Linked DNA regions of Alligator mississippiensis. The protein of the gene in region 2 binds, or shares a complex with, the protein of the main gene of each other region. Links are inferred from orthologs where the notes say so. Each region holds a gene or a part of one and is shown on either strand. Other genes may lie near its edges. The genes, in order: SF3B4 and DDX46.

Region 1 (15,586 bases), on a different chromosome or scaffold from region 2:
TGCGCTAAGGCGCGGCGGGGTGACAGCTGCAGGGATGGTGGCCCCTGCTGTGACGCCGGCCAGCTGTGGAGGAGATCGGTGCGGGGGGTCCTGGGGCCCTGCACCCCTGGCTGCTGACAGGCAACACTCGTGCCAAGACCGTGTCTGTCTGGGGGCAGTTGATTGTCTGTATTGAGTCTTTCCTCTCCTTAGCCTGGGTTTGTAGGTGCTAATTGCTGCTCGTTAAGTCGTTATGTAGTAGCTAGGTCCTGTGTATTGAGCTGGGCCCTGGGTCCCTGGTCCCCGAGTGAATCATGGTTGATTGATCGGTAACCGGGAACACAGCAGCTGAGCAGCCAGGCCTGAGCAGTGTCTCCCCTCCCGCCCCAGGACAGACACGAGCAATCCCACAGCACCCGTGGCACCAGTTGTGCTTGTCTGGAACTTGAGGGGCACTTCCCCCCAAACCCCTGCACCGATCTCCTTGAAACATGGCAGGCTTTGTGGCCTCAGTAAGAGCTACCACCCCTGCAGTTTTGATCCCCCTGTGTTGTAACGCCTAGATGTGACAGGAGTTTTGCTTTCAAGAATTTGGGGTGCCGTTCCCCCCAAACCCTTGCACTGATCTTTTTGAAACTTGGCAGGGCCTCTCTGCAGAGTCTACCACCCCTGAAAAGTTCATCCAAATCAGACAAAAACCAACAAAGTTATAGATATTTCATTGATCCCCCATTATACCCTATGGCTGGATCTCGGAGGCGGCTCGGAAGCGCTCCGGGAAGCCGAATGTGGCAGCGACTTGACCTGACGTGCTGCCTCCCGCTCCAAAGCGTCTGAAGCTTCTCCAGATCCGAAGCTCTGCCCGAAGCCTCGCCCAGCCCTACTTGGCAGTGCTACGCTGGTCAGGGATCAGCAGGACAGACCCTAGGAGGAGAGGCTAAGGGACCTGAACCTGTTCAGCCTCCACAAGAGAAGGTTGAGGGGGATCTAGTGGCCTGTTACAAACTAGTCAGAGGGGACCAGCAGGCATTGGGGGAGTCCCTGTTCCCCCGAGCACTACCAGGAGTGACATGGAATAACGGTCACAAGCTGGCAGAGGGTAGATTTAGACTAGACATCAGGAAGCGCTACTTCACTGTCAGGGCGGCTAGGACTTGGAATCAACTTCCAAGAGAAGCGGTGCTGGCTCCTACTCTGGGGCTGTTTAAGAGGAAGCTAGATGAACACCTTGCTGGGGTCATTTGACCCCAGTACTTTTTCCTGCCATGGCAGGGGGTCAGACTTGATGATCTGCTCAGGTCCCTTCTGACCCTACCAACTATGAAACTATGGACGAAAGGGACTTGGGGGTCTTGATTGACCACAAGATGAACATGAGCCTGCAATGCGATGCTGCGGCTAGTAAAGCAAGCAAAACGCTGGCTTGCATCCATAGATGCTTCTCAAGCAAATCCCAGGGCGTCATTCTCCCCTTGTACTCAGCCTTGGGTGGCCGCAGCTGGAGTACTGCATCCGGTTTTGGGCTCCACAATTCAAGAAGGATGTGGAGAAGCTTGAGAGAGTCCAGAGCCACGTGCATGATCAGAAGTCAGGAGAACAGACCTTATGATGACAGGCTGAGAGCTATGGGACTCTTCAGGCTGGAAAAGCGCAGGCTCAGGGGTGATCTGGTGGCCACCTACAAGTTTATCAGGGGTGCTCACCAGGATCTGGGGGAACGTCTGTTCACGAGAGCACCCCGATGACAAGATTGAATGGTCACAAAGTCCTCCATGACCGTTTCAGGCTGGACGTAAGGAAGAACATCTTTACTGTCCGAGCCCCCAAGATTTGGAATAGCCTGCTGCCGGAGGTGGTTCAAGCGCCCACTTTGAATGCTTTCAGGACACATTTGGATGTTTATCTTGCTGGGATCCTGGGATCCCTGCTGACTTCCTGCCCCTGGGGTAGGGGGCTGGACTCGATGATCCTTCGGGGTCCCTTCTAGCCTGAATGTCTATGAAATCATCCCAGTTCCCGAATCACAAAGGACTGGGGGATTTGGGCTGTGCCAGGACCCCCAACTCCCCTCAGCAGTGCTCAAACTGGGAGCCGGGGGACATGGGGTGCTCCCCAGGGGGGGAAGGTGCTCCTGGTAGCCCTGCCCCAGCCCCGCTCATGGCTGCCGCCTCCCAGGTGACAATGGCCATCGCTCGGGCCCAGGAGAGTGACAGGGATGTGGCAGCCTGGTCCGACTCCACCCAGCTGAGGAACCTGGGTAAGTGATCCTGTGCCTGGCCGGGAGGGCAGGGGCCCCATGGGCACTGTGCTGACTGGGCTCCGGCTTGCAGAGAACGCCCAGCGGAGCCCCGAGGAGGAGGGGGAGGAAGATCCGGCGCCCACGCTGCTCTTCAAGAGCCTCCAGGACTGGGAGCAGGAGCTGCGGCGCCTGGGGCCCGCAGGCTGGCGGGTCAGTGTGGCCAATGAGCGCTTCGACATGGCCACCAGGTGAGCGGGGGTGTGGGGCGGGCAGGATCTTTCTCACCCCCCTTGCCCCGTCTCCACTAGAAAATGCAGGAGACCTCCCCAAATCCCCAAGGGATCCAGGGTACTGGAGAGACCAGATGCTTGGGTTTCCTGTTCTCCACAGCCCCTGTTCCTAGACCCGGGGACTGAGACTTGTGGGGGCAATGGAAAGCTTTTGCTTTTGCTTGTGCTTCCGCCCTGGATGCTCGGGGGTTTTGTGCTGTGATGGGCTTAAAGTGCCCAGAAAGCCAGGTTGGGGTGGGACCAGGCTGGGATCAAACTCTTGGGAGGGAAGGAGGATCCCGAAGGCCGAATCCTGGGATAGAGGGTTGCAGGGGGCTTGTGGGGAGGGTCTGAGCTGTCTTCCCCACGTCATGCCCATAGCCTCCCCCGGTACCTCTGGGTGCCTGGCCAGCTGCTGGACAACGAACTCAAACGAGCCTTTGCCCACTTCAACCAGCGACGCATCCCAGTGAGTGACCCCCTCCCATCATCCAGGGTGACCCTCCCCAGCCTGAACCAGCAGGGGGGAGGGAAGAGCTCTGGCTTCAAGCTGGAGGAAGGGGATGGGGGTGCAGGGGTGGGGGAAGCAGCCTGACATGGATTTTGCCCCCCTGTGTCTGCCCTGCCCTGCAGAGGCTCTGCTGGCGGCACCCTGGGGGCAGTGACCTGCTGCGTGCTGCGAGCTTCCATGCTGCCTCGGACCCTGAGAAGGAGGACACAAGGTAGAAGCCACAGGCATGGGGATGTGGCGCTGTGATGGGGGGTGGGTTGCTGTGCTGAGGCCCTAGCCTGGCTTAGGGGGGCCAGCAGCACCCGTCTTATGCCCCATGTGTCTCTGCAGGGCAGTGGAGGCACTGCTGCTGGCTGGGCATGCGCGATGCGTGGTCGTGGACACAGTGGCCGACTTGCCCAGCTCCACCGAGATCCAGTTGGCCCATGTGCGGCTCCGCACCCTCTGCTCGCCCGGTGAGGAGCTTCCCCTGCCCTGTGTCTCTCCTGGGAGCTAAGAGAGTCGGGCTCTTCTTCCACGGATGTTGGCTGAGCTGGGAGCTGGCTCCCTGCCTCAGTTTCCCTGCTCGAGCAGGTCTCATTCATCTCTGGGGCAGCAAAGGGTGGATGGGACTCGGGAGACGGGGTGTCGCTTCGCTTCTTCCCCACCACAGACCCCCTTGGGGGACTTGGTCATGTTCTCTTACTCTGCTGCTACCACCTGTGGAGTGGGGAGGGTCATTCCCACTCATGGCTGGGGTGGCTGCTGGAGGATTCCATCTCTGTCCCCCTGCCTGGCTGCCTTCCAGACCCCGCCGTGGCTGATGAGAAGTGGCTGTCTGCGCTGGAGGGGACCCACTGGTTGGACCACGTCAGGTGAGAGCTGTCCCTCCCTGCTCCCAAGACATCCTCTCCTAGCACCCAGGCCAGGCTCGCATGCAGCCATGACCCCAGTTTTCCCTCCCCTCCCCTCCCTTCCCCTCCCCTCCGGTGCCCCCAGCTCTGCTAGCCACCCCATCCCCTTGCAGGGCCTGCGTGAGGAAGGCTAGCGATGTGGCTGTGCTGCTGGCAGAGAGGCGCTGCTCTGTTGTGCTACAAGGTAGAGACTCCCCCACCGCTCGCCGGGGTCCCCAGGCCACGCTGCCAGTCCCCCGCTCACCCCGTGCTGCCCCCACAGAGTCGGACGACCGAGACCTCAACTGCCTGGTGGCCTCGCTGGTGCAGCTGCTGGCCGACCCCCACGCTCGCACCCAGCTGGGCTTCCAGAACCTGGTGCAGCGGGAGTGGGTGGCAGCCGGACATCCCTTTGCCCAGCGCCTCAACCTCTGCCGGGATGGCGACCGAGGCGAGGTGAGCCCAGGGGCAACCAGCGGGGGGCATCATGGAGCCTGTTCCCACTGGCTTCCAGGTGCCCTGGCTTGGAGCTGGGGGTGGAGCTGGCTGGGTGAGGCAGGGACCCAGAAGACCCCTGGGATTTGGGGCTTGGACCCCATCCCAGCCCCACATGACTTGTCCTGGTCCCCAGCTGCTGTGTTCTACCCCAGAGGCAGCCGCATTGCCATGGCAGCTGATCCCCCACCCCGCCCTCCCTCCACTGGGGCTGTCCGTATGTTGCCGCGTTCCACCCCAGAAGCGGTCGTATTTCGCTGTCAGCTCATTGGGGCTTAACCCCTCTCTGCAGGCTCCAGTGTTTCAGCTCTTCCTGGACTGCGCCTGGCAGCTGCTGCGGCAGTTCCCAGCTGCCTTTGCCTTCACCGAGGCCTATCTCCTGGCCCTGCACGACAGCAGCTACGTGCCTTTCTTCAGCACCTTCCTCTTCAGCTGTCAGTGGGAGCGGAGCCGTGGGGGCCAGGTGGGTCCTGGGGTTCAGGATGGGCCTGGGAGCTGGCTCTGCTCTGCCTTGGGAGGGGTCCGGTCTAGGGGTTGGAGTCAGGACTCCTTGGTTCTGTCCTCGGCCGTGGGAGGTGAGTGGGGCCCCCAGGTCAGGGGATGGGGACTTCTGCGTTCTCTGCTCAGCTGCAGGCGGGGACTGGGTTCCGCTTGTTCAAGCCAGGGATGGGAGTGAGGACACTGGGGCTTCCTGGGAGAAAAGTAGGGTTGGAGCAGGGGACTGGGGCTCCTGGGTTCTTCTACCCCTGACTGCTTCGTGCCTCAGTTTCCCCGTTTGTCCCACAGGGGTTTTGCCCCCTGCTGCTGGGAGAGCTAGGTAACATGATGTTTCCTTTAAAGTGTTGGCAGTGGGGAGCAGCTGCTGTGTGTGCGCTCCTCCCCTCCTCACCCCCTCTGTCTGCACCCCCAGCACCGGGCCTCCAGCCAGCTGTACACACCCGTCAATGGCTGGCGGGACGCCGCCAACCTGGAGATCCTGCCGCAGGCCCCAGTGGGAGGGGGTGCTTGCCTTCCCCCTGTCTGGGCCTGGGCGCTGCACTACAGTGCCCAGCAGCGGGCGCAGTTCCAGAACCCCATCTACACTAGGGCCAGTGATGGGCACATGGCCCCGCCGGGCTGCAGCAAGGTGAGTGCGGTTGCCTCTGTGTGGGGTGGGTCCGGGCACTACAGGCAGCTCTGGGTGGGGGCTGTGTGGGCAGGCAGGCAGGCTAATGGTCACAGCACAAGGGACGAGGAGCTGGACAACTTGGTCTTCCTCCTGGTTGGGATGGGGAAGGAACCCAGGAGTCTAGCCTCGAGTCCCCTCTAGCCCTGCTGTGTCTTTGCTCCCTGCTATGTCCTGTCCCCCTTCCCAAAGCCCCAGCCCACGTCCTGCCTCTCTCCAGCTGAAAGCCACCCTGTCTGAGACTGGGGCTGTGTTCCTCCTGGCCCGGGGGGGCTTGGCCCCGCAACCCCACCTCTTCCCCTGGAAGAACGGCTCACTCGTCAAGAAGGGCCCGTGGCGGGTGCCATCCTCGGACAGCCTCAACGACCAGTGGGGCTGGCCCAGCAGCTGCCCTGCCTTGCCTGGAGCGGTCCTGGTGCCTGCCTGCACGGGGTCGGCGATCCAGCTCTGGAGACGATGCTACCTCCGTGGGAGCCCCGAGCGGCAGGTGAGGGCCAGGCTGGGCTCGGGGCAGCTCGGTGGGGGCGGTGCTCTGCCACTGCCACCTCCTGTAACCTCAGTCAAGTCCCTTTGCCCCTCCTGTGTTGATTCAAACCATTGAATCTACCATTCAAACCATTTGCCCTCATTGCAACAGGGTGGTGTGGGCCAAGGGGCTGGATCTAGGGTGGAGAGGGGAATGGTGGAGAAGGAAGCTGGAAGCCTTAGTATCCAGTGGGACTCCCCACGTTCCCCTGCAGCATCTTCAGGACGGGGGCTATGTACAGCACCGAGTGTGCTACAGCAATGCTTTTCATCAGCCCCTGGGTGTAGCCCAATGAGGGATAAATCGAGCTGGTCCTTGTCAGGTGCCCAGCGAGGTGGGTCTGGGCTCCGGCTGTTCCAGCCTCTCCATGCACTAGCTGATGGCACTAAGCTAGCCAGTACCCCAGCTGCCTGCCCTGACCCCATGCCTCTGCTTCTTTTCCCCCCTGCTCAGCGCGGCCTCTTCCCTGCAATGCTCACCGACCTCACCGAGGAGCTGGAGTTGCTTCAAGAGTGTCTGAACGATGGGCACTGGAGGGCCACGTCTCCCCCCAGCCCTGCGGAGTCGGAGGAGGCAGGAAGCCCCCTTTCCCCGTCCCGCTGATGGTGACCACTGCTGGGAGAGGATGTTAGGCAGCGGCTGGACTCACATGACCGACTTCCCCGGCGTTCAGACCTGTCCACCTGCATGTTGGCAAAGAAGCCAGTGCCCACAGGCTGTTGTGTGCAGCTCATCTTGGAGACGGGCACCCGGATACTGCTGGATTTTCGGTCCCAGGCCTGGAACTTTGCCCAGCCCTTGGCATCTACTGAGGGGTCGCAGATATGTTGCCCAGTTGTCCTGGTGACTGGGCATCTCCCAGCAACATGGCAGAGGGGACCCGCATCTCCAGAACGAGCCCTAGAGATGGAGCTCTCCCCTTGGTCCCAGATCCACGGTCATCCTGGCTCTGGGGACTGTGGAGGAGCCCTGCCCTGCTGCTAGTTAGCTGTCCCTTCCCTGCGGATCGTGGGTGGGTCTGCAGCACCTTCCACCCACCTAGCCAGGCTGCTTCTGCTGGGTTTTCCCAGTTGGACCCCTCAAAGCAGGCAGTAGTGAGGAATCTTTGGGGTGGGAGGACTGGAAGACCCCTGTCTCCCCTGCCCTAGAGGCTCGGATGCATTGTAAGCTGCTGTGTACAAGGGAGTAGGTTGGGGAGAGGGGGCGTGGTATTTGCTGTAATCCTGCTACCTCCAGAAGCACTTTTGAAGTCCCTGAGGAGTTTTACTGTAATGCGCAAAAAAGCGTCCGGAAACCCTGCTCGTGCAAACAGACACACAGTTGCACCACATGGAAAGGCAAAAAATGTGGCGTGTACATGCACTCCCCCAAGTCCAGGTTGCGGCTGCTGCTTTCTTGCAGAGGGACAGCAGCCGGATCTGGGATTGTGAGACCATCTCTTGCAGACTCTCTTCCTTGAGCTCTAGGTCCCATTGCATCAGCTGCACATCAGGCTGTTGCATGGGCTGGTGTGGATCTGGGACATCCTCTCTGTCCCCCATGGCCAGGATCAGACTCGACCCTGTGTTACCACCTGTTCTCTGCGCTGACAAGCTTGATGGGGTGGTGGTGCCTTACGGCTGGGAATCTTCCTGACCCCTCTGGTGAATTGGGCCTTCTCCAAAAGCCCATCCTGTCTGGGAGCTTCACAGCCCAGCAAGGGGAATCTTCCCAGCGGGGTGGATTCAGGCCCTTGCTACTAGGATTCAGGGGATGGCCCCACATGGGGAAACTTGCTGGAGTCTTTCAGGTCCTTCCAAACTCCCTGCAGCTCCCCCACTTCAGTATATGCAGACATTGCTGATGGTAGCTCAGGGCCAGTATGTTCCTCCCTGCTTTGGGATCTCTTTCTAACCCTATAAAATCTGCAGCAGAGGAAGGGAGGGGAAGGGGGAACAACCTCACTGCTGATTAGGTGTTTCTATTGCAGGATTTTTTTTCTCAAGGCCCTGGCACAGTTATCAGTAACACATTTTGTTTAAAGCTATTTGTATTATTTTATTTTTTTAAAAATAGCTCTAGCTATAATTAGTAACCGGCAGGAGATGGGTTTCCATTGGGCTTGAAGCACTTTAGGCAGAACCAGAGACTACACATGGATGAGCTTATTCACGGTGTGTGCACATGCACGTGCTTCTCGCCATCTATTTCACTTAATAGAAAGGATCCCTTTAATTTCATGGGTTAGAAAAGGATCGGTGCAAGGATCGAACGCCTCCCCTTCTCGCAGGGCTTGAAAGCAGTGGAGTTGCAGGATGGGCAGAGGCAGTCACAGCTGAAAGTCCAATGCCGCTTTGGAAAACACTGTGCCGGTTGCCTGAAAACGATGGGGAGCCGTGCGCACTTCATCTTAAAAACTCCTTCCAGCCCCATGAGAGGCCTGGGGGGAAGAGCTGAGTGTCTCCATCGCTCCTTAAAAAGATGCCGGCCGGGGGCCTGGGCTCTCCCTTGAAGCAACTCCTTTGGTTACTTCTTAAGAAGTCTTTGGGTGGCCGCGGCGTTCGGATCCCGCGTCCCCCGCGACGCGAGGCAGGAGGTACGTCGCGATCCCACCGAAGGGCATTCTGTTTTTTCCTAGTCTGTATATTTTTGTAGTGACGTTTCTATTTAAGAGCCCAATAAACGCAGTATTTTTAAAGCTACGGGGTGCGGTGGCGTGTTTGAAGGACATGTCCCAGTTCACCCCAAAAGGTCGCGCGAGAGGCTGCAGTCTCCAGGTGCCGTTCGTGAGGGCGGGCGAAATCATCTCGACGTCCCGTGTGGTGCCAAATCCCACGAGCCTCCGATTCAAGGGTATTATCAGCCAGTTAATCATTACAAGTAGGACTAACGACTGATAACCCTAATGAACATGCTGGGTAGATATCAAAGTACTTCACTCAGCAGCCGCTATCGGCATTTCCTCTTATAGGCGGGGAAACTGAGGCACAGAGCGGCCCTGCAAGGACTCCCCCTGCAAGCCAGGGCTATACCTGGGAATTGCGCCAGGTTTGAAACCGGCTGCTCTGCCCCTGGGCAAGTCTCGTCCTTTTTCTAGGCCTCAATTTGTTCACCTGCAAAATGGGTGCTGTGCTAGTTATTGGCAGCAAGCCTAGGCCCTGTTGTTGTTATTACCAGCGTGTCCCACAAGGCGTTAACATCAGCAGCAGCTCAGACACCTTCGCAAGCCGCTTCCGCCCGGCTCCAACATGGCCGCCCCGCGCGCGGCTGCAGCTCTCGCCCGATTCCAACATGGCCGCCTTTGGCCAACATGGCCGCTGGGGAGCGCACTTCCGGCTTAGACGGGAACCGGAAGTGGTGTCGGGAGGGGACGAGGTGAAGGGTCGGAGGTCGCCTGGCGGCGGCGGCGGCGGCTCAGCGCGGAGGAGATGGCGGCCGGGCCCATCTCGGAGCGGAACCAGGGTGCGACCCCCCGGCCGGGCCGGGCCCGTCTCGTCCCTCCCTGGGCGGCGGCGGCTGCCTTGCTGGGGGCGCCCCGGGCCAGGTCCACGTGTCGGGGTTTTAAGCCCCCAGCGCGCGGGCGCTGCTGCGGGCCGGGCCGGGCCAAGGCCTCTGGCCCCAAAGGGGCAGGCAGGGGTTTCCCCCCGGCGCGGGGCGGACTGGGGGGTTTGCGTGAGGACCCTGCGACGTGCTCGTCCGTGCTGCCGGGGGGGTCGCCGTGCACTGACCCCCTTCTGGGCCCTCGGGGACACGGGCAGTGTCCGACTGGGTCCATCCAGCCCAGTTAATGCAGCGCCAGGGCGGCCCTATAAGCCGCCCCCTTCTTGAACGTGGCCTTGCTGGCCCCAAATTTCTCCGCAGCGAGGGTCTGGGGTTTGCGTCACAGAGCGAGGAAGGTTTTGCCCTCGCTGTCGTGCTCTGAGCCCCCAGGACTCGGCCCCGGTCTCTGCCCCTGTTCGAGCCCGTGACTGACGCCCCTTTCTTTCGTCTCTCCCTGTCAAGATGCCACCGTCTACGTCGGCGGCCTGGACGAGAAGGTCAGCGAGCCGCTGCTGTGGGAGCTCTTCCTCCAGGCTGGCCCCGTGGTCAACACGCACATGCCCAAAGACCGGGTCACGGGCCAGCACCAAGGTGAGAAATCTCCATCGTGGTAAAACCTGGGTTTTATATGCTGGACGCGGCAAGGGAGAGGGGAACAGGGGGGAAAACCCTGATCGGACCCAGCTCGCTCTTCCTTTCAGCGTCTGCTCTCTGCTGCCACGTGACAGGAGACGGGGCAAAGTGGGCCTGTGGCCTCACCCAGTAACTGGCAGTTCTTGTGTGGGTCAGCCCCCGCTGGTAGGGAAAGGCTTTCAAGGACCTTGTCTTCCTAGTCATCTTCCATGTTGCTGGAGCAGGGAGTAAATGGTGCATTAGAAGTGAGACCTACGGTGGTAGCGCACCCGTGCTCAGAGAACAGGGCCCTGAGCTGCCAGGCAGAAGGACGGCTCTGAGGACTGACAGGAAGGGTGGCCCAGAAAGCTTTGAGACTACATATGTATTGTGCATGTTTCAGTTCTCGTAGTGCTTTAGTGCAGCAGCGGGTGTGCCCCTCCTGTTGCACTCAAATTAGTCTGCCACAAAGGTTTCCCCCTACTGAGTTAAACTGATACAACGTATCGGAGCAGGGGGTGAGAGAACTTGGGAAGAAAAAGATCCCTGGGTTATATGGTCATATATACATGCACTGAGGTGGATCTGACTGGCAGGTGGAGCAGAGAAGGTTTCCCATCAGCAGTTGGGATCAGGGTAGGTGTGAAGGGGGCACTTCCAGATGAGCCAACAGGAGAGAGAAACGCAGAGGAAGCAGGGTTTTGCTCTGATGGGGCCAGGGGTCGTGAGGAAGCGGAGAGCAAGGGGGAGAGGGGTTCGAGTGGGTCCCAGGGGCTGCATCCCATCCCAGTGAATTGCGGTGTGTTGTAGGCTACGGCTTTGTGGAGTTCCTCAGTGAGGAGGATGCCGACTATGCCATCAAGATCATGAACATGATCAAGCTGTACGGGAAGCCCATCCGGGTGAACAAGGCCTCGGCACACAACAAGAACCTGGACGTGGGCGCCAACATCTTCATCGGCAACCTGGACCCAGAGATCGACGAGAAGCTGCTGTACGACACCTTCAGCGCCTTCGGCGTCATCCTGCAGACACCCAAGATCATGCGGGACCCCGACACGGGTAACTCCAAGGGCTATGCCTTCATCAACTTCGCCAGCTTCGACGCCTCAGACGCTGCCATCGAGGCCATGAACGGGCAGTACCTCTGCAACCGCCCCATCACCGTCTCCTACGCCTTCAAGAAGGACTCCAAGGGCGAGCGTCATGGATCAGCAGCTGAGCGCCTCCTCGCTGCCCAAAACCCTCTCTCGCAGGCTGACCGGCCCCATCAGCTGTTTGCAGACGCCCCTCCTCCGCCGTCTGTGCCCACCCCGGTTGTCACATCCCTGGGCCCCGGGGTCACACCACCAGGTGAGGGAATCTCTGTGCTGTGCCCCCCGGCAGGGGGGGCGTTGCTTAGTTGGTGGCTGGGTGCAGTCTGTCACGGGTTTTTGCTCTCTGGGTTGGTATTGAAGCAATGCCAGGGCTTTGCTGGACCACAGGGAGGAATGTGGCAAGCGTGCCCATTGCTCTGGGTTGGCACTGATTTGTTGGCCGGGGTCTTGCCTACATGTGGGGCCCGGAACACAGCTCTGGGGGCTCAGAACGCCAGCCCCTTGCTGTGCTCGGGCCAGGGGGTTTTCAAGCCTGGTTCTTGACCCCACTTAGAAAGGAACGCTGCCTGCCCCCCAGGTGGTTGGCCATGTCACCTGCTCTGAGATGAGTATCTCTTGTACTGGACCAATCAATGCAAAGCTTTCCATCCCCAAGTTGATTGGCCCATCACTGGGATGCCTTGCTCCCCTGAGCCATGCCATTGGCTCTTGCGTGGCTGGGAAAGGCGGGGCCGCAGCATGCAGGCCTGTGGGGTGATGATTTGTGCAGGGGTAGTGCTCTCACTGATCCTTTGCTCCCTCAGGCATCCCACCCCCCGGCTCGTTCCCCCCACCGGTGCCACCCCCTGGAGCCATGCCCCCAGGAATGCCTCCTGCCATGCCCCCTCCACCCATGCCACCAGGCGCTGGTGCCCCTGGCCCACCATCTGGAGCTGCACCCAGTGGAGGACACCCACCGCACCCACATCCCTTCCCACCGGGCGGGATGCATCACCCAGGTAAGGTGTTGGGAACAGGCTGGGCTAGTGGACAGAGCACTGGACTGGGCGCTAATGCCACGTAACTCAGTTTCCCTTTTCTGTAAAATGGGCACAGTGACACTGGCTTCCTGCCTGATTCACTGAGCCCTGCTCTAGACAAAATTCCCATGCAAGAGTAAGTGCTTAGTGATTTATTAACGAGGGTGTTAATAATCCTGCTCTTCAGTTAGAGGGGGGGGATGTCTGAGCAGGGAAGCCAGGGTGGAGTGGTCTGGGTCAGTGTGTCTCATCGCTGAGCCTTGATTTTTAAAATTGCCTGCATTCTTTTGGAAATGGCTGGCTTCCATCAGCTGGATGCTTCGTGGCTTGGACTGAATGTGAATGTTAGGGATTGGTCCCTGGGAGCCTGGCACTGCCCCCATCTGGCCACCTGCACTGGGATTGGGGCCTGGCCACCCCCCCCCCAGCCCCCCTCAGGTGAGATTGGGCCCTTAGTTCAGGATCTCTTGCCAGATCCCCTGACCTTGGTTTCTGGTTCAAATGGGTGCCTTGCACACAGATGGTGTTTGCACCTGCAGCTGTGGTCCTGGGGAGCTGAAGGCCTAAGGCTGAACACTGCCCTTGTCTTCCTACCCCTTTTTTATGCTCTCAGCTCCCTCCAGAGGTAGCCAGTTAAGGCCAGTTGATCTGAAAACCACTTTAAAATGGCTTAAATGCCTCAGTTTCCCCTCACCGTGGTTCTCAGCCCCGCCCCCACACACTCCCAGCCCTCTCCCTTTCTGCCTGGTTAAGAGGCTTTGTGTGTGATCCGGGAATGGGCTATGGGTGACCAGATGGCAGCTGTCACCTCCAATTACACGCCAGCTTTGGGGCCTTCAAAGTAGGCAATTACATGTGACAAATGGTGTTGTGTGTCATTGTCATCGGCACACCCCCCCCTCCCCCCCAATAGCAGTATGCCTGGGTGTCCAGGCTTCTGCTAAAAAGATTGGGGGGGGGGATCTAGGTTGAAAAGTGAGTAAATAGGCAGTTTTTTGCCTGGTAGATTCCCCTCCGAGCTGCCTAGATGGTTTGTTTGGGCCGTGCCCCTCCCTGTTGCCAGGGAGATGGGGGAATTCGTTAGCAGTGTCCCCAGTCTATCAGCCAGGATACATCTCTCGAAGCTGCTGCATGTAAGCAGGGAAAGCTGTGCTGGACGGATCCAGCAGAGAAATGGGGCGCAAGGTATTGATGGAGACAGAGCAAATCTGAAGGATGTAAAGGCATCTCCGTACCACGGGAGGCCTCAGCCCAGCTCAGTTATGGGGCTTGAGACCAAGCGGGAGCTGGCTGGTCTCTTCCTCCTGGGATCTCTGGGCTAGTGGATCTGAGGGTCCCTTCTGCTTCCAGTCCTGCCCCAGCAGGCTGGGGGAGTTGGGCAGGAGCTGTGGCTGTCCAGTGCCCCTAGCCGGGTCTGCTGTGCAGCTGCCCTGATCACAGCTTCCGTTTGAGCGGGTCTGAGAGCCCATGACGGTCTCACTGTGTCTGTCTCCTCCCCAGGGATGCCGCCAATGCAGGTGCATCATGGACCCCCTGGCATGGGCCAGCACCACCCGGGACCCCCGGGCTCCGGCGGGCAGCCCCCACCGCGCCCACCCCCTGGCATGCCGCACCCAGGGCCCCCGCCTATGGGCATGCCGCCCCGTGGGCCACACTTCGGGTCCCCCATGGGTAAGTACAGGTGTGGTGGAGGGGGAGAAATGGGACTCCTGAGTTTGCTTCCTGCCCCTGGCACCGACTTATTGTGGGACCTTGGTCATGTTGCTTCATTTTGCCCCCCATCCACAAGTGGGGGTGGGGAGATCTTACCCAGAGTTAGAATCATAGAAAGAAGAACTGGAAGGGACCTATAAGATTATCAAGTCAGGTCAGGTCCCCTGCCATGGGCAGGAGGTAATTGGGCTCAAACGAGCTCAACGAGTTATTTGTCCAACCTCCTCTTAAAGACCACCTCTGCTGGAAGTGTTCCAGATTCTAGTTATCCATACAGAAAAGAAGTTTTTCCTTATGTCCAGCCAAAACTTTTCCTTGACTAGCTTGTGTCCATTAGTCTGTGTCTTCCGGGGGGAGGGGGGGGGCTTTTCTGAAAAGTTATTCACCTAGGTCCTGGTGTTCGCCCTTGACATATTTGTTGACAAGTTGTTCCCAAGACTGAAAAGCAATTAAATATGTAGATTTGTAGTAGGTAGATCCCTGCCCAGCTGTCCCATTGGCTGAACTGGGCCATGCCCCTTCCTGTTGCCATGGAGACGGGGAGGTTCATTAGCAAGTGTCCATCGTTCTTGGCTCTGCCTGCCTCCCCGTGGCCACAGCAGTAAGCTGGCCCAGCTTCACTGGTATCCTCCAGCACTCCTGGCCAACGGACTAGGGGTGAAGTCAGCCTGGGGGAGTCCTCTGAGGGCTGTCTGCCCTGCAGCCTCTGCACGGAGCTGAGGCTAAATGCCAGGATCCTCTCTCCCTGCAGGTCACCCCGGCCCCATGCCGCACCATGGGATGCGTGGGCCGCCTCCGCTGATGCCCCCCCACGGCTACAGTGGCCCCCCACGGCCACCACCTTATGGCTACCAGCGGGTCCCAATGCCTCCACGACCAGCTCAGAGACCCCCGGTGCCCCCACGGGGCCCCCTGCGAGGACCCCTGCCTTAGGAGGCACTGCATGGAGGCCTGAAGAACCTTCCTGCCACAGATCCCTCTTCAGTCCCTGGATCTCAGCTTGTGCACGGACCAACGTTCCCAGGCCCGGGAGCCTCATCAGTGTCGTATAACACCCCCCCAACCCCCTCCTCTTCCTTGGACCAGGCCTTATTCTTTCTCTCCCTCATTCTCTAGGATTTTAATGAGAGGGTTTTTCTATGTAAAGCAAGCGATCAGCCCTTTGCAAATAAACCAACTGGGTTTCTCTCGCCAAGGTGGCTCAGTCTTCTTTCAGGCTCAGTAGCACAACCTACTTCATCCCCTCTTCCTACCTCCTGTATGTCAGGGACACTGGATCATGCAGGACTCGGCAGCCCCTTGTGTGGGGTTCGTGTATGCAGTAGATCCATGCTTGGGGAGCAGCGTCTGGTATGTGGAGCTGCATCTAGTAGTAGGATGGGAGACTTGGGCGTTGGGAGCACAGCAAGGTCTTCGTATGTCTTAGGGAGCATGTCCTAGTCCCAAGCAGCAGGAGCCCTGGCTACATGGTGCTCCCCTGAGACTCCATCCAGTTGGCTTTGAACCAGCTCTGAGCCAACTCCTCTCAGGGTCTGAGCAGGGGGTAGCACTGACCCCTCCTGGGGCTGCC
Region 2 (15,432 bases):
CAGGAAAAGGATTCTTCCTTATGCCATCCAAGGACTTGGACACCAGTTGCAGGAACCCCAAAATACTGAGCCACAGCTCACCACAGGTACTACACATGGACTCCTCTCCATGGCAAAACAAGCCCTGGAAAAACAAACACCACATCTGGGGTGCCAGCATAGCCAGCATGCCTCCACAACCCCAGAAGCCAGAACTCTAAATCCAGAAATCAACATTTAGAGCAATGTACATTCCTCCCCTGGTGATATGCAAGTGGGAAGATTCTCCTGGGCCTGAAAATGACACATGGCAGAGGGTGAAATTTGCTGTGCTAAGACAGGAGGTCATCAGTACCTGGTCCATTTAGCTGCAAGTTTAGTGTGGTTAGAAAAGTAGCAATTGTCAGTTCACAAACAAGTGCTGAAACCACAGCATTTGAAGCTTTTTTTTTTTAAACTGGGAGAGAAGGGGAAAAAGAAAAAAAAAAATATATCCACATATGTCACTGAACTGCTCATTATGTCACATAACTAACTTGTATAGCTGCCCAATAATTGGTGGGTTAACTCTGTCCTCTCTTCCATTCCCAAAACCAGAGCTTGCTGGTCTCATTTATTGTTTCCTAAGCTGTTTGTGGCCACGAACAAAACTATTTCACTACAACACATTCGACAAAAGTAGCTGAGAAATTTTAAAATCAAATGAAACAATACAAAGCTAGGTTTACTGTTAGGGGTAAAAGCTGTATTTGTTTAATTATTATGTAAAATCAAAATTTTAAAATACCATCATCATCTTCTAAGCTCCATTTTTTCCCCTGTTTCATTTCTTCAATTTCTTTTTTCAGTTCTCCGATGTTTTCCATAGCCTTCTTGCGCTGCTCTTCCCTCCATTTCTCTACTCTCTCTTTTCTTTTTCTCATTTCCTCCTCCAGTTTATTCTGATCAAAGTTCTGTGAGAAAAAAACAACCAACTCAAAGATTATTGCTCTGATCCTGTACTCCTTCATACAACTCGCCATTAGATCAGTGGCAGTTTTACTGGAAATACGGGATGCAAGTCTGGCCTCCATAAAACCTATATCGACAGAAGTTAAACTTATTATAGAAGGAAAGAAAATACTGATGTTAACTGTAACACTTGAATATAAAACATCACATCTAGTGCCAGATGGTCCTACAGATAGATCTTTCCAAACCAATACTCCTGAACCAGTTGCTCAGTCTTTTAGGAAAAGTATACTACAGCAACAGTTCCCAATCTTTTTCCTTTTTTGGTCTGTGAGCCAGTAAAAGGCCAAAAGAGTTCTCTTACCATCCACTATTTCCCATAATCCTTTGAATTAAAAAAAGCAGCTCTGACTGGTTTATGGATAAAGGAGTCTGAGGTCAGAGTGCTGGTGGAGGAAGCACATGTTGTGGAATAGGTTGGGTGGGGATTCTGGTTTTAGGGCTCTGGTGCTGACATGTACAAAGATAGAGGGTTGCCCTTGAGACACTGTTTCTTTCCCCTGGAAAGGAGCAGTGTCCATAACTGGAGAGGTGCTCTAGGCTTGGGAAAATAACAGCAGTGGATTGAGCTCCTTCCTCTTCTTCCCTGGTCTCTTTCTGGGTTACTTTTCAGCTCCTCAGTCAATCACAAGAAAGTGACATAATGAGCTCACATCCAGCTGGTAAGTTTGCATCCAGTATGCTGAGGTGGTCAGCCTTAAGGGGAAAATGTTTATGTCAAATAGTAGGAGTCCATCCTACTACCAAAGGTACAGTAATTAACCCCTTCACACTCACAAGAACATTGCCCAGACCTAAAAAGGGATTATCTGAAGTTGTTTTTCTTTCCAATTACAATAAATCCTATCTAAATGTATTCTAATGCTACAGCATTTATGAACGCTCCTGTTTAACTCATACAAGTTTCTCTCTCAGTGGCAGATTTATACATACATTAACCTCTTTATCCTTTTCTTCTTCTTTGTCCTCTTTCTCTTTTTTCTTTTCCTTGGAAACTTCTACACCTTCTGTCTTTTCTTTAGATCTTGATCTGAAAGGGGGAAAATCAAAGATGTATGACAGACTTTCACAAAGTGTTCCAGCTTTTCTTTGGAGGTTTCACATGCTGGACAGAATCACTGCCATTAACACTATGCATAGGCTTATGCTTTTTAAATGCTTTTGAGAGTATGTATCACTTCACAGCAAATCTCTCCATTTCATGGAAATAATTCCCACAACTGCCAGATACGTAGAATCTATTAGGACCCATTGATTCATACACTCTGGTTCTGTTCTTCTCATTTATTTCTGGGAGGAAGTCGCAGACTTCATTTCCAAACACTTACAGTTGATACTCTAGTGGCTCCACAGTTTATTTTACACCTCTTTGAATACAGCAGTTAGAATACAGATACTCAGAAATTCTTGCCTGTTACACTTCTAATGGCAAAGTGATCTAGCACTTTGCCCTAGAAATGCAAGTTCCCCCTGAGGATAGGCTACTGCCTGAAAGACATAAAAACACCTCCCCTCCAGGAAAGGCTACCTATAAACTGAATGCAACAGGCAGACATGCATTTGATATTAAATCCATTTATCACAAATTTTACTGTGCCTACCTCCTCCCAATAAAAAGTAGATGACTCCAATCTAAACATCTAAACTCAGAATAATAAATGTAAAATTCCTTTTACTCAATTAAATCTTATTAAGGTTTTTCATAGCCCACTGGGCTATTTTAATGCAAACCATATGCTTATTTTACAAGACATTTTTATGTCATTCCAACTTCTCCAAGTACAATTCTTGTGATCTCATGATTAAAATACTGGATTGTCATCAACCTGCTTATTCTATATAAACATCAGCGTGACAGTTTACATACTTTTAAATTATTTTACAACTTGACTCTTTGCAATTATACTGTAAATTCCAGTAAGAAGTTATTTAAAATGGCAAATGACCTGAAGTTAAGTTTTACTTTATTTCTAACCCAGTGTAAAAAGAGATCAAACTTCACCACTTCACTATGACTATTTAGTAGTCAGTTCATTTGAATGTAAACTCCCAATGGTAGGGCCCTTGTCTAATTAATGTTCTATATCAGTGGGGGCCAACCTTTATGGCAGGCATGCCACAAATTAGCCCCACACCCTCCCCAAATGTCTCTCTGATCCCATTCCTCTACCCAATATGCTGCTATGTTTTCTGCTTCCTGCCTTATCTGCCACTGTGTTGCCTGTCCCCTCCCTGGTCCAGTGTGCCACAGATAGAGGCTGCCCATGCCATCTGTGGCACCCCTGTTCTACTTGGTGCTGAGCACACAGGCAATGTTCAACAAACAGTTAAGAAACATGTACAAGTTTGATCCTAGCCTATATCATGGATTTCTCCAGTGTGTTATACCACAGACTTATCTACTGGCATGGATACCACAGAAAAACAGCTCTCAAACACTACTGGTTCACGTACCACCGTCTCAAAAAATTGCTGAAATGTCAAGCTCAGGAGTCACTACTGGCACACATAACAACAGTGTGAGAAACCCTGCCTCTTCTTTCATTACTATTCTGAATCCATTGCTATTAATGCCTCTCATCCCGTTATTAAAAGAAAAATATATACATCTCCAAAATAAATAATCAACCTGCAAGAGAACAGTGGGAAGAAGGAGTCAAACAATTCATAAGTGGGAAACCAGTACTTGGGGTGCATTACGAGACGGATCAAATGCCAATCATCCAAGAATTTATGATTACAAATTATTTTTCACAAAACCTTTTGAATTTTAATATTGATCATGAGAAACAGAGTTCAACTGACTTTTCAGAGGGGACAAACTAAGTTGACAATAGAGCCAGGAATACAGCCCACATCCCAGATGAAGTCAGCAACTGGCAGGGAGCAAATATGTCCTCATTAGAAGCTTGCTGCCCCTTATAAAGATATGCCCTGTCTACAAAATACAATAATGACAAGTATTAAATAATATTACCTTTTTTGCCAAATGTGTTAAATCTTTCCAGATGGCCTATTTTATTCTCCAACAAATGTGGAGGGTTTCCACTGGATTCTCTCTCTCTCTGATTACTGAGGACCAATGTCCACAGAAGAGAAATGAGTCCATTTCAGTTTCTGCAACTGAAAAATTAACCTAATGCATGAACTAGCCCTCTGCATGGGCTTTCTGAGTACATTTCTGGATCAATGACAGTTAATTATCTGGGAAGATCCTCTAACAGCTGCCAATAGCTTAAGAAGCTGATGAGGTCATGGCTTTGTAAAACAAATATAACTATGCAACATACAAAGGGGCTGTCAGTCACTTGGGTGAAAGACTCAGTGTACTTTTGCAAACTTACACATAAGGAAAGGAGATCTCTCCTGGGAAAAGACCTCTGCATGCCATTGTTAACAGTAAAAAAAAGTTTCCTGACTAAAAGAATAATTACAGGAAGAGGCAAACTCATTTAATATTAGCTAAATCCTCTATCTGGCAGCTATAGCCAGGACCTACAGAAACATAGACTACGGTAAGGTTTCACTGTGCCTTGTTACTGGGACAGCAGTTATAGCAGTGAATGCCAATACCTGTTTTCTGTTTTCTTGTTCTTGCCAGGACTGGGGGATCGGGACCGTCTACCTCTACTTCTGCTTCTGGATCGTCTCCTATCCCGACTCCGTGTTCTTCTCCTCTCTCTGCTCCGTTCTCGCTCTCTGCTTCTGGACCGTCTGCCGCAGGAGAAAAAAGTGTTTTATTTAGCATTCCATACACATGGCTGTCATTTTTTTTTTAAATATAAAAACAAACTTGTGTTGGGGAAAACATGACATAAGTTGGCCTGTTAAGAAGTGGGGGGAAGGAAAAATCATTTTCGTCAGTGCCCTGCCAAAGGAAGCTAAGAACCATGAAGGCCAGAAACAGAGTTACAAAATCCAGCTACAGTATACTTTTCCACTGGGTGATAAACTTAACCTGTGTGACACGTACTAGCCAACGCTTTACCTAATTTCACACCTGCCAGAGGCACCCATGACAAGTAACCACAGCAAGTGGAACATCACAGGTAGAACATCCCACACAGAAGGGCAGATACTTTGATTCACTTTCTTAAGACGTACTGCAACGTGTACCTTGGGCGCTTCCTCTCCCGTGACCTTGATCTCCTCTTGTCCCTGCTGCGTGACCTCTCACGCCGACGTTCTCGATCTCTGCTTCTAGAACGTCTGTCTTCTCCGCGTTTTGCTCTTTTGTCGGATGGAGAACGACTCCTGGAGCGGCTGCCAGAACGTCCCCGTGAAGCAGAGCGCTTCCGATAGTGCCTATGTTGTGGTAAGTGCACAAAATCAAGTCAAGATTCACAGGAGAACAAGTTAGAGGCATCTGCTGCATTTAGAACCGGGTCCTCTCTAGGGAAAGAACCAATTTTTAAAAAGGCTTTACTGCCCCTGCAAAACTGAACTAATGAACACATGTACTCCTCTGAAGTGATGGAAATGACTGGATTCCCTTGAAAGAGTTCTTACGAGATGGCATTGACAGAGCACAGCTCCTAATTGCAGCAGAGTTCCAAGAAGCATTTACTGGTGGTCCATCCATTTTGGTATATAAAAGATTAAAATTGCACATAATCATGCCTCTTGTGTCAGAGTTGACTGTGTAGTTTTGTAAAGACGTTAGACAATGGATTTGTATAGGATAGTTTGGATAGGGATGATCCTGCCTCAGGCAGGGGATTGGCCTAGATGACCTCTGGAGGTCCCTTCCAGCCCCACTTCCCTATGATCTGTAAGGTTTGGGCAGTCCTGCTCAGCTTATATAAATACCTCTATCCAAATACATTAAGTCTTAGTTCCACAGAGCTGCTATCAAACTCTATGAAAACTATCATATGCTAGCAAGAGCATCTGTGGTTTGATGGGCAGAGCATAGGGCTGGAGTCAGACTTGGACTGTATTTTTCTCAGTTACTGACAGGCTGTGACCTAGAGCGAGTCAATTCACCCGTCTCCGCCTGCAAGGTTTTGCCCGCTTAGATTCTAAACGCTCCAAAATACGGACCGTCTCTCCATAAAACACAGCCCAGATCTGGGTTGGGACCCCTGTAATAAAACAGCAATCACTCAGACCAGAGCCTGCTTCAAGGTGTAAACCTTAACAGAGAAGCACGAGCATAGCAGAGCAGTCCGTGGCAAATATCTCTTATCCGAGGACTTGAAAATGCTTGCACTTTTATAATCTTACACAAGAGCAGAGGTAGGAATCACTGCACCCACTGCAGAAATGCAGATACCCACGGGGGTGTCTGTACTGTTTCAACTGTGGGTAGCAGAGACGCAGCTAACCTAACTTGTGTACCTGCAGCGGTCTCACCATGCAAGCGGTGAATACTCACCCCATTCAGCGGTGAGTATTCGACCAATACCACTCCCTTAGCTAGCTACTTAAAGTTATCTCAGGCACTGGAGCACCAACTGAAGCGAAGACATAGCTAACCTGCAAACAGCGCTGTACAGTCAGTCCTCAACTTACAACGTTTCGAGTCACAACGTTTCGCACTTACAACCTTTATAAATTGACACCCTATTTCAACTTTCTGACCCCAGTTTCAACTTACAACGCTTGATTCGACGCGACGCCAAGCCAGCAAACAAGTTCGCGGTGTCACCTATCTCCCTGGAGAACATCTGTCCAAACTTCCTTGGACACTTTCTTTAAGAAAGCAAAACCCTGCACCAAGACCCCGGAGGAGACTCCAGCCAAGAGCCCTTCAGACAGTCCAGCAAAGTCACCTCAAAGAAGTCCTTCCAAATCAATATGATTGCTATTTACATTGATGTAGCTATATTACTCATCTATAATTGACAGAATACAAAATTTTGGGTTATTTTTGATGAAAATAAGGTATCCTTGGTTCAGGAACCAATCCTCCATTTATAACATTGTTTCCTATCGGAAAAAAATCAGTTCCGAGTCACAACATTTCGACTTAAGACACGGTTTTCAGGAACCAGTCGTGTCCGAGGATCGCCTGTAACACTAGGCAGGAGTTCAAAGCAAACAGTAAAGCACTGAAATCAAATGGATTTAGACAGCATGTAGCTGCTTACATTTTTGCCAGGAAAGAAGGATTAGCGCTCCGGTCGCCAGGGGTATACAAAATGAATTCCCCTCCAAGGTGTGCGACCTTGGAAAGCCCGGCTTCCCCACCCGCGCGCCTGCCTCGCACCCACACGCAGGCTTGTCGCGGCTCACGGCTGCAAAGCGGTATTTCAAGAGGCCGGATGGAGCGAGAGCAGCGAGGTGCGCCAGCCTTGCAGGGCAGCACCCACACGAAGATCCATGGCTGCTCAGGAAGTGTCGTTTAAAAGAGGGGAAAGAAGCGGCGGACCCGCAGCCAGCCCGAGGAGGAGGAGGAGGACCCGGCCCCGCTCAGGGATGTCACCTCCTGGCTCAGTGGCAGGGACGGCGGCGGCGGGGCCCTCACGAGGTCACACCTCGGCTCCGCGCGGGACCGTGCCCAACCGCCGTGTCCTTAAAACATTTCCGAGAATGACCCCCCCCCCGCCCCGGGCAGGTCGTTTCCCCTCAGATCCGGGCCCGGCCCCTGTGGGCCGACAGCGGCCTGCCCCGGCCGGAGAAGTGGGTCTCGCAGCGGCGCGGGGGCTGAGCCCGGAGAGGGGGGGGAGCGGGCGGCAAGGCCCCGGCGGGAGGAGCCGCCTCACCTGGACTCGCGGCCCATGGCGGCGGCGGCGGCGTTGGCCCGGGATCGGGTGCGCGGGCTCTAGGCGGCCGCCATTCCGCGCGGCGGGCAGAGGGGCGGCGCGCGGGGCCCGGACAGGCCTGCGCCGCGCGCGCCCCCTGGCGGCCGGAGGCCGGCAGCGCAGGGACAGCGGGCTTCTCCCCCCCACCTGCAGCCAGCTGTGCGTGCGGGCCCGGCCCCGCCCCGCCCCGCCCCCCCGGGACACGCGACCCGCCCCCGCTTCGCAGCGGGCTGCTGGCGGGGCCGGGGTCTGCGGGCGGACGGTCCCCCAGGAGCCCCCTCAAAACAGACGTGAAACAAAGGAGCGAGCGCATCCCTCCCCCACCCCCACCCCCGAGCAAATCAAACCTTGACTGAGAGTAACAAATGCCGTTTTAATAAATTTAATAGAAAACAACCGCTGTAGAAATAAACGTCCGATACATTTATGTGCGCGAGCAAAGGGGGAGGGGCGGCGGGGGTGCAAATCGAAGGTGGGACGAAGGAGATCCGTTTCTGGATCGCGCGTGAAGTCCGAGGGCTTCGTTCAAGTCTTGAGAGCCGAGGACACAGGCAACCCCTGGTGCTACCTGCTCCTGTCCCGACAACGTATCCTTTCCGCTCAAAAGCTCCACCTTATATTTCAGGGGTGGCGGCTGGAGTCGCGTCGGTCTCCGGACATCGGCAGACAAGGTCCCTTGGGTGAATACATCTTTTATATTCACCCAAAGACCCTTGTCGGCCTATTGTATTTCAGGCCGCTTGGGAAAGGATCTGCTCAGCCATTTCACAGTTAAAGGAATGCAAAAAGAGCAGGGCAGAACGCCAAAATAAACACAAGTATAAATCAAAATGCTTTTTTAAGCTTAGTAAAGAAGGGGGGGCCCTTTAAAAGGTGATGTAATATTAATAACCAGTGCTTTTTCTGCACCCTCCCTAGTGCTACCTGCAACACTTGCTAATTCGGATAAATAATCCTGAAAGTTGTGTCTCATTTCTGAGAATAATCTTCACATTTCAACCGTAGCTAAAATCTCAGCTGTCAGCATCTGCTGAAATTGTGTCCCAACCATTCCTGCCAGTGGACCTAAATCAGGTTGTCATTCCCCCCCCCAATCTATCCTTAAACATCTACACTGAGATGTTGACGCAAAAAGTAACCGCAGTACAAAGCAATCTTCCATAATTTAGAACACAAGTTTCTTGCTTCAGACATAGAGCAGAGGTCTGATCGTGGGTTCAGGAGCGCAACAACGTCATATTGCAGAATATTTTAAAAGGGGAAAACAATTAAGCAGAAAAGCAGAGTCTTGTTTACTTCAGAAACACAAAACCAGATTAAACAGGAGGCAAAACCATTAGCAACATAACCAGGCATCCCCTCCCAATTGAAAATCTGGTGTCAGTCTACTTCACCTGGATGCTTCAAATAAATAATACACAGAAGACAACAGGTTAAGGGTAACACCAGGTTCAGATGCAGTAGCAGCAAATATCCAAATATGGGTAATGGGAAAGGTTGGCTGATGGAGATCCCTCCTCAAAGTCTGTTCCAGTTTACACCATCCCACTAAGGCCAAATTTCTGCTGGACTGGGGACAGTGCTACCCTCTCTCCCCTAGAGAGCAGAAGGCATCTGCTGTGGGAGCCCCCCCATCCCTCACTGCTTCTACATCTGCTCCAGAAAAGGTGTCAGTTTCCACCCCCTCCTTCCACAGGACACATTGATCTTCTTATGGAAATCAACTCAAAATAACATGGTGATAAGAAGTCTTGTTCCCTTGCCTGTTTCAGTACTTAGGATTTGAATAAGCATGCCTATTGTGGCTTATTTGGAGGGACTTCAAACCAAAATGTAGAAGAGAGGAATTAGCAAGTCAGTTAACATATAAATAGCTCTGCTGAATGCTAACCAAGGGTTCTATTTAGGCTATTGAGCAGCAGCACTATTAAGCAGCAGGAGCAGAACTCCTAAGCAATTAAGGCCCTGTTTACATGCAAATGTCTTTTTCTATAAACAGAGGGAAAGAAACAGAATATAGATGTCAGTTAAAATTGTTTTAAACACCCTTGCAAAGATCCAGGAAGAAAAAAATCCCCTTGTTAACTAAAAGTTGAATAAAACTGCTATATTTGATGCCTATTGAAGTAACTGCTTGAGAGAATGGGGTGCCTGAGTGCAGCTTTCACTGTAGAAAATGAACTGTCTAAAGAAGAAGAGCGCAAGTAGGGTGTACATGAAAGCCGGGGTAAAATTAGGGCTAGAATTAAAGAGCTTATGGAAACATTTGAGACCAGCAGCACACGTGCCTTCTTGCTTCACAATTAATGGCATTTGTACGCCAACAGGATTTATTTCACTCTAGAATCCTCTCTTGAAGTCCGTCACCGGCACAACAAATAATTTATGGCACCAAGAGAGGATGAGGGCTCCAAGCCACAGGACAATGAAGAGGCATGTGTCGCCCAACCCTACTGCAAAAGCCACAGGCTTTTTTATTCAGCATTCAGAGTCTGAACACTGGAACGTAAGGATTCATTTTATATTAGTCATGGATTTCTTTTAAACATGGAAGCAACACCAGAAGAGCAGTCCTTACGTGTATCCAGTCACAAAGTGTACACATATGGGCTTCGTGAAAGCACATTTGTGCTCTCACACTGCAGAGCCAAAAGGGAGCAGCAATTCAAGTGATGTCAGGGGTGGAGGAAGAAGGATGTCTTCTAGTTAAACAAGTAAAGGAAATCAATCACTGACACTTGCACTCTATTCTTCACATTTGCCATGTGCAGAAACAATAGCTGAATACACTGTACTAAGACCACTCCCACCCTGAAACCCTGTTTATCCATTCACAAATGAGCGACTTTAAGATGCCTGTCAAGCATTCCAACAGACAAGAATTAAATTAAAGGTCTAAACCAGTTTGCATATCCACAGATGTTACAGGAATACAGAATGCAAAAAATGTGTGTAACTGCTACTTTGAGGTCTACAAGCCCTCACGGTGCATCAGAACCAAAAAACACCAGCAGTTCATGGCAGAAAATAAAAGTAAAGAAGTAGACACAAAGATCTGTGAAGACATCTCCCATTTTGCTATAGGTGTCCATGGAGCGACTAATCACTTCTGCTGGGATCCCCGACAATAAAAGAGCAGCAGTTAATACCGTAGTTTTCACTTTCTTCTCGCACTGAAAAAAAAAGAACAAAACAAAAGAGTAGTGATTACTGAGTGTATGAAGAGTCATAACTTCTAAATACATTTTAAATCCAATGAGTTTCTCTGGGGGCTCCCTCCTACTATGAGTGACAAGTCAACATTTGAAGTTAACATCATCGTGTGAATCGCTGACAAATGTGTGTGAATTCATGTTCTGATGGTCTCTTAATCAGCTGTCTACAAAAGGTTCACCAGTGCAGTTAGGCCAGGATAGACATGTTGCAAACCATCTCACATCCACACTGGTTTCTTCTGTAAAGAACTGTATTTTTGCCAGTATAGCTTTAAAATATATAGATAACTTCTGGACATATATGCATGCACACACTTTTGTGGAAGGCCAGGTAGGGATGCTTTGTGTAGGCTGTTTTTGTGCCATAGAATGGGCTATTCATTTTGTTATGGACCATGGTTTTAGTTATGTCAAGGGACCTATACCTTTGAATTGATATCCCATTGCATTTAAAACACATTTTTATGACTGCAGTGTTCACCTATGTGACATTTCAAAGTGATCTGAATTAGAACAGTTTAGTACCACAACTACGCATTATATGAAAAGGTAAATCATTTATGAATGTTAAGACAGTCATAATCATCAATGAATTTTAACAAAATAATGAAATGGATACTAGTAACAGAATAACCTGAGTAAACAAACAAAGTCAGGGCACTCCACATTAAAAATTAGAGAATTTTTAACGGAAGAAAAGGAATTCAGCCATCTCCTCTCAAGACTCCCTACGGAAGCTTTACTTTCGACTAGCCCAGACACAGGCAGGCCAGCCTGAGGTTTAAAGTCCCATTGGAACATAGAGTATACAGGTAACTACCATTTGCTTTCAATTCAGAGACTCACCTCTGAAATATAAAGGTTGAATAACTGATTTTGAGAAACACAGAAACTAAGAGAAAAGCTCTAGCTAGCAGACAACCTAGTGCAGGTGATCTGAGGCCAGTACCCTGGTACGCTGTCTGGTAACTTGTGCAGACCACTAAAGAATAATTACTTGAAAGTTCACTGTTTTTACTTACATATTTACTACTCTCACTCATTCCTACTTGCTACACTGACTCGGCTATTCCTTTTAACATGTAAATATTCTCTTTCAACTATGGCTGTGAAGTACTTAATTCTGCCTGACTTTACAAAGCAGACTGACAAAACCATCAAGCAAGCAGTTGCTTCTTTACAATTAACTTGTGATACGATCCCATTAATATAAAGCAGGAGATATAATCCCGCCATGTTGAGAAGCAGAAAGTAACAGGCATAAATAAAAATCGCCACATTTCAAACTTCTCTAAAACTGAGTTCAGGGCAGCAAAGGTCAAGGACCCATTTCACTGAGAGGGAAACATTCTGTTTGGTCAAACATGACATGAACAGTGCCTATGGATGGAGCCTAAAAACAGCAACTGCACAGAAGTACAGTGTAAATGGAAGGCAAAATCCTACCAAATCAAAGAAAAATCTAGCCAGCTTTCCCAAGTAAATGCTTCCTACTGGGCTATAGCTAAATATTAAGTAAGCACAAAAATCAGACACAAAACTAATTTTCATCCAAGACTTTTAAGAACATTTGGATTCAGGTCCTCCAAGATTAAAAGCTAGGGTATTAAGTGCCTTTCACTTCAAACAAAAGGGAGCCAAAGTCTCATACTGCGAGTGATACCTATTGAACCTGACTCTGTTTGTAGTACACTCAAGTGTTGGGTAATATTGTAAAGTACATTCTGTGGAAGACCTAGGCCTTCCTAACCATAATACATTCCCACAAAAGTCGGAAGCTGAAAGCACCCAAAATTACTTTTGTTAGGGCACTGGGCTTACCTTTGGAAAATACTTGGACAATCCCATGTAGGCAAGTTGTAGAGTAAGAAATGGAGCAAATATTGACTGAGAAGAAAATATAAGATAATGAATTAGACAAATAGATAGTTAAGGAATCACAGTAATTTGCACTTCCAAGGGAACTGACATTTATTTGTAATAAAATATTTCAGCTGCTGCACTGAAAAGCTATGGAAAATGACAGCCATGTTTATAAATACCGCTGATCTAAATAGATGATGGCTAAATTAGAAGATTAATCTCTTCCCTATCAGGCCTGATCCTGAACTGAGATAGGTGCGGGGGTTCACAACACCTCAGACTATGATTACTGCTAGAGATATAGCAATACTTTGTAAAGCCAATTACGATTCAAGAGTTGGCATTTTGTACTAGATGAGATGTAAACAGATGTTTGGAGCACTCTGGTGCTAATTACTGTTCTCAGTCTCCAGGGGCTAAGATTTGAGTTTGTACTCTCTCAGCTGCTACACAGCATCCGCACTAAGTACATAGTGTTGATTCTGAGAAGACTACCAGCCTCAAGGAAAGCCAGCAATTCATCTGGACTGATATACCACATTCTATGTATCTAGTCATCCTCGGAGCTAAGTATATGACATGTCTAGACTGGCAGCAACTAGGCTGGGTTTTGTCTGGTCACACTGAAGCATCGTTTTTTGTAACTCACCAAATACTTGCACACGAAGGCTCGGACTCCAAAGGCAAGAAGGGCGCATCCCACGAGTCTAAAAATCCGAAAAGAATCAAACTCCTCCCCTGCATTCCCATTCTCTTGACTTGGCTTCTCACTCATCAACTGGTTCCTTAGCTTCATTGCTTCATCAAATCTCGAGATGTACTGATCTAACCCATGTCGTGGTGCTCGCTGTGCAGGTTCGGGTGGCAACTCCCCTCTGCTGCGATGCCGGAGCTCAGTGGGACCCTCACTGCCAAGCTCAGGAGTTTTGCTGAACAAGTCCTTTTTGTCTCCCTTGAGCTCTGCAATGCCACTTGCATGATCAGCTGTTCCTGCCAGACTACAGACAGCATCACCCAGCACAATTCGCTTTGAAACTGAGGGGACAGGGAGGGAGTTGGACTTCTCTAGTTCAAGCTGAAGTTTTGATTCGGAGAGAGTGTCATCATCTAAAGAGGATAAACACCACAATGAATACGTTACATGCTGCTCAAACCAACCTCTAACCCCTGTTGTATTTTGGGCATCCACGATAATACATTGAATACGAGTGTGAAACCACAGCTTAACAATTAATAAATATATTAAATTAAAGAATAATGAATGCCTATTCAGTAGATATGTGAGCATTGGCAGTCCCATTTTATAGTGAGAGAAACTGAAACCAAGGATAAGCAAGGCAAGAGGAGAATTCTGTACTAGAAGCAGGGGTAGAATTCAGGAATTCCTGGCGTCTGCTGATAAATTATACCGTAACTCCAGATGAAGAACACCAAAGAGCCAACCATAAAACAGGCAACCTCATCAGGAAAAATCTGTTACCTCAACAGTGTCTTCTGATACTTTTCAATTGCAATAGGAACCCAAATGGCTCCAATCCACTGTACAACTGCTACAATATGTAAGTCAATACAGCACTTTCAAACACATCAAATAAGTCGTATGCTTTTAATTGTTGAGTAGTATTAGCCAAAAGTGGGGCAGATGCTTTCTTCAATTGTTTGTATGTTATCTCAAGTGTTGAAGTAGTTGCAGTCAATCAGCTATGAAAAATTAAGTGAGAGCTCTGGGTTTGAGGGGAGAGTAAAGAATAAGTCTGGTTAGATAGGAGCGGTTTATTCCAAGCACAGACAACTGCATAAGGAGAGAATTCAGAGTAAGTCAATTGGATGAAAGGAAGAAGGAAAAGACAGCCCACAGGCAGCAGAGAAGTACATCTTGGCTTGTTTCTCTCTCCAGTCAATGGCAAAACTGAAGTCTTATACCTGCAGAGAATGACCTTGTATTTGACAGAAAAAGGGAAGCCATCAGAAAAGAACACAGACACGCTAGGCGTGGATACTAAAATCAGGGGGGAAAATGCAGTTTAGAACAGTACATTTCAAAACAGACTGACTCATGCTTTATAGATACCCTTGTAAATTAAAATCTGAAAGCTCTTACAAGACTGCTTCTCATCACAGAATTTTCTGGAAATACAAATGATCTCTGATCAACTGCAAGTTTGCCGAGGAATTCTGTATGACAGCCGTAGCCAGCAAATGACTTTAAGCAACGTGTCATATCAAAGAAAAATATTGCTTTTGGTATTTCAAAAGATTGCTTCAGTTAAAATTTAAGGATGAAATAAAACAACATAACAGAAGTTGAAAAGAAAGACTGTGCAATTCATACAACTCTGCAACAGTCATTAACATAAGAAGCTTCCTGGGGAGAAACAGTAGCAGGTCTAGTTGAGAGAGCAAGGAACTGGGAGACGGGACTGCAGGCAAAATTTGCAGAAGCGCCAAGTACCATCTGCTCTGTTTTCCGAGTAAATACCTCCCCACACCAAAAGATCAAGTTTTACTTTCTAAAGGCAAATCCTTATGGATGAGGAACCATATCACTACCGTATCACTATCACCGTATCACTCCCCCTGCGATCACTAGCCACATCACTACCATACCACTATCACTG

The links.
Region 1: DDX46 (region 2) and SF3B4 share a complex: the UniProt entries of both Homo sapiens proteins name them as parts of the 17S U2 SnRNP complex. The link is inferred for Alligator mississippiensis from reciprocal best matches to the Homo sapiens genes DDX46 and SF3B4.

Annotation. Positions count from the first base shown.
Region 1 is NC_081838.1:18,097,588-18,113,173, reverse strand, and holds SF3B4 (splicing factor 3B subunit 4), read left to right. Parts: upstream 1-9,386; 5' UTR 9,387-9,463; coding exon 9,464-9,497; intron 9,498-10,037; coding exon 10,038-10,166; intron 10,167-10,997; coding exon 10,998-11,540; intron 11,541-12,087; coding exon 12,088-12,282; intron 12,283-13,803; coding exon 13,804-13,974; intron 13,975-14,767; coding exon 14,768-14,949; 3' UTR 14,950-15,211; downstream 15,212-15,586. Other genes in the region: MTMR11 (myotubularin-related protein 11), read left to right, coding at 2,155-2,236, 2,310-2,466, 2,869-2,956, 3,121-3,209, 3,329-3,453, 3,786-3,852, 4,005-4,075, 4,154-4,326 and 4 more. UniProt on the Homo sapiens protein: Component of the 17S U2 SnRNP complex of the spliceosome, a large ribonucleoprotein complex that removes introns from transcribed pre-mRNAs.
Region 2 is NC_081832.1:70,512,357-70,527,788, reverse strand, and holds the start of DDX46 (probable ATP-dependent RNA helicase DDX46), read right to left. Parts: upstream 7,809-15,432; 5' UTR 7,715-7,808; coding exon 7,698-7,714; intron 5,296-7,697; coding exon 5,107-5,295; intron 4,705-5,106; coding exon 4,564-4,704; intron 2,021-4,563; coding exon 1,924-2,020; intron 933-1,923; coding exon 767-932; intron 1-766. Other genes in the region: guided entry of tail-anchored proteins factor CAMLG, read right to left, coding at 10,718-10,909, 12,773-12,838, 13,464-13,921. UniProt on the Homo sapiens protein: Component of the 17S U2 SnRNP complex of the spliceosome, a large ribonucleoprotein complex that removes introns from transcribed pre-mRNAs.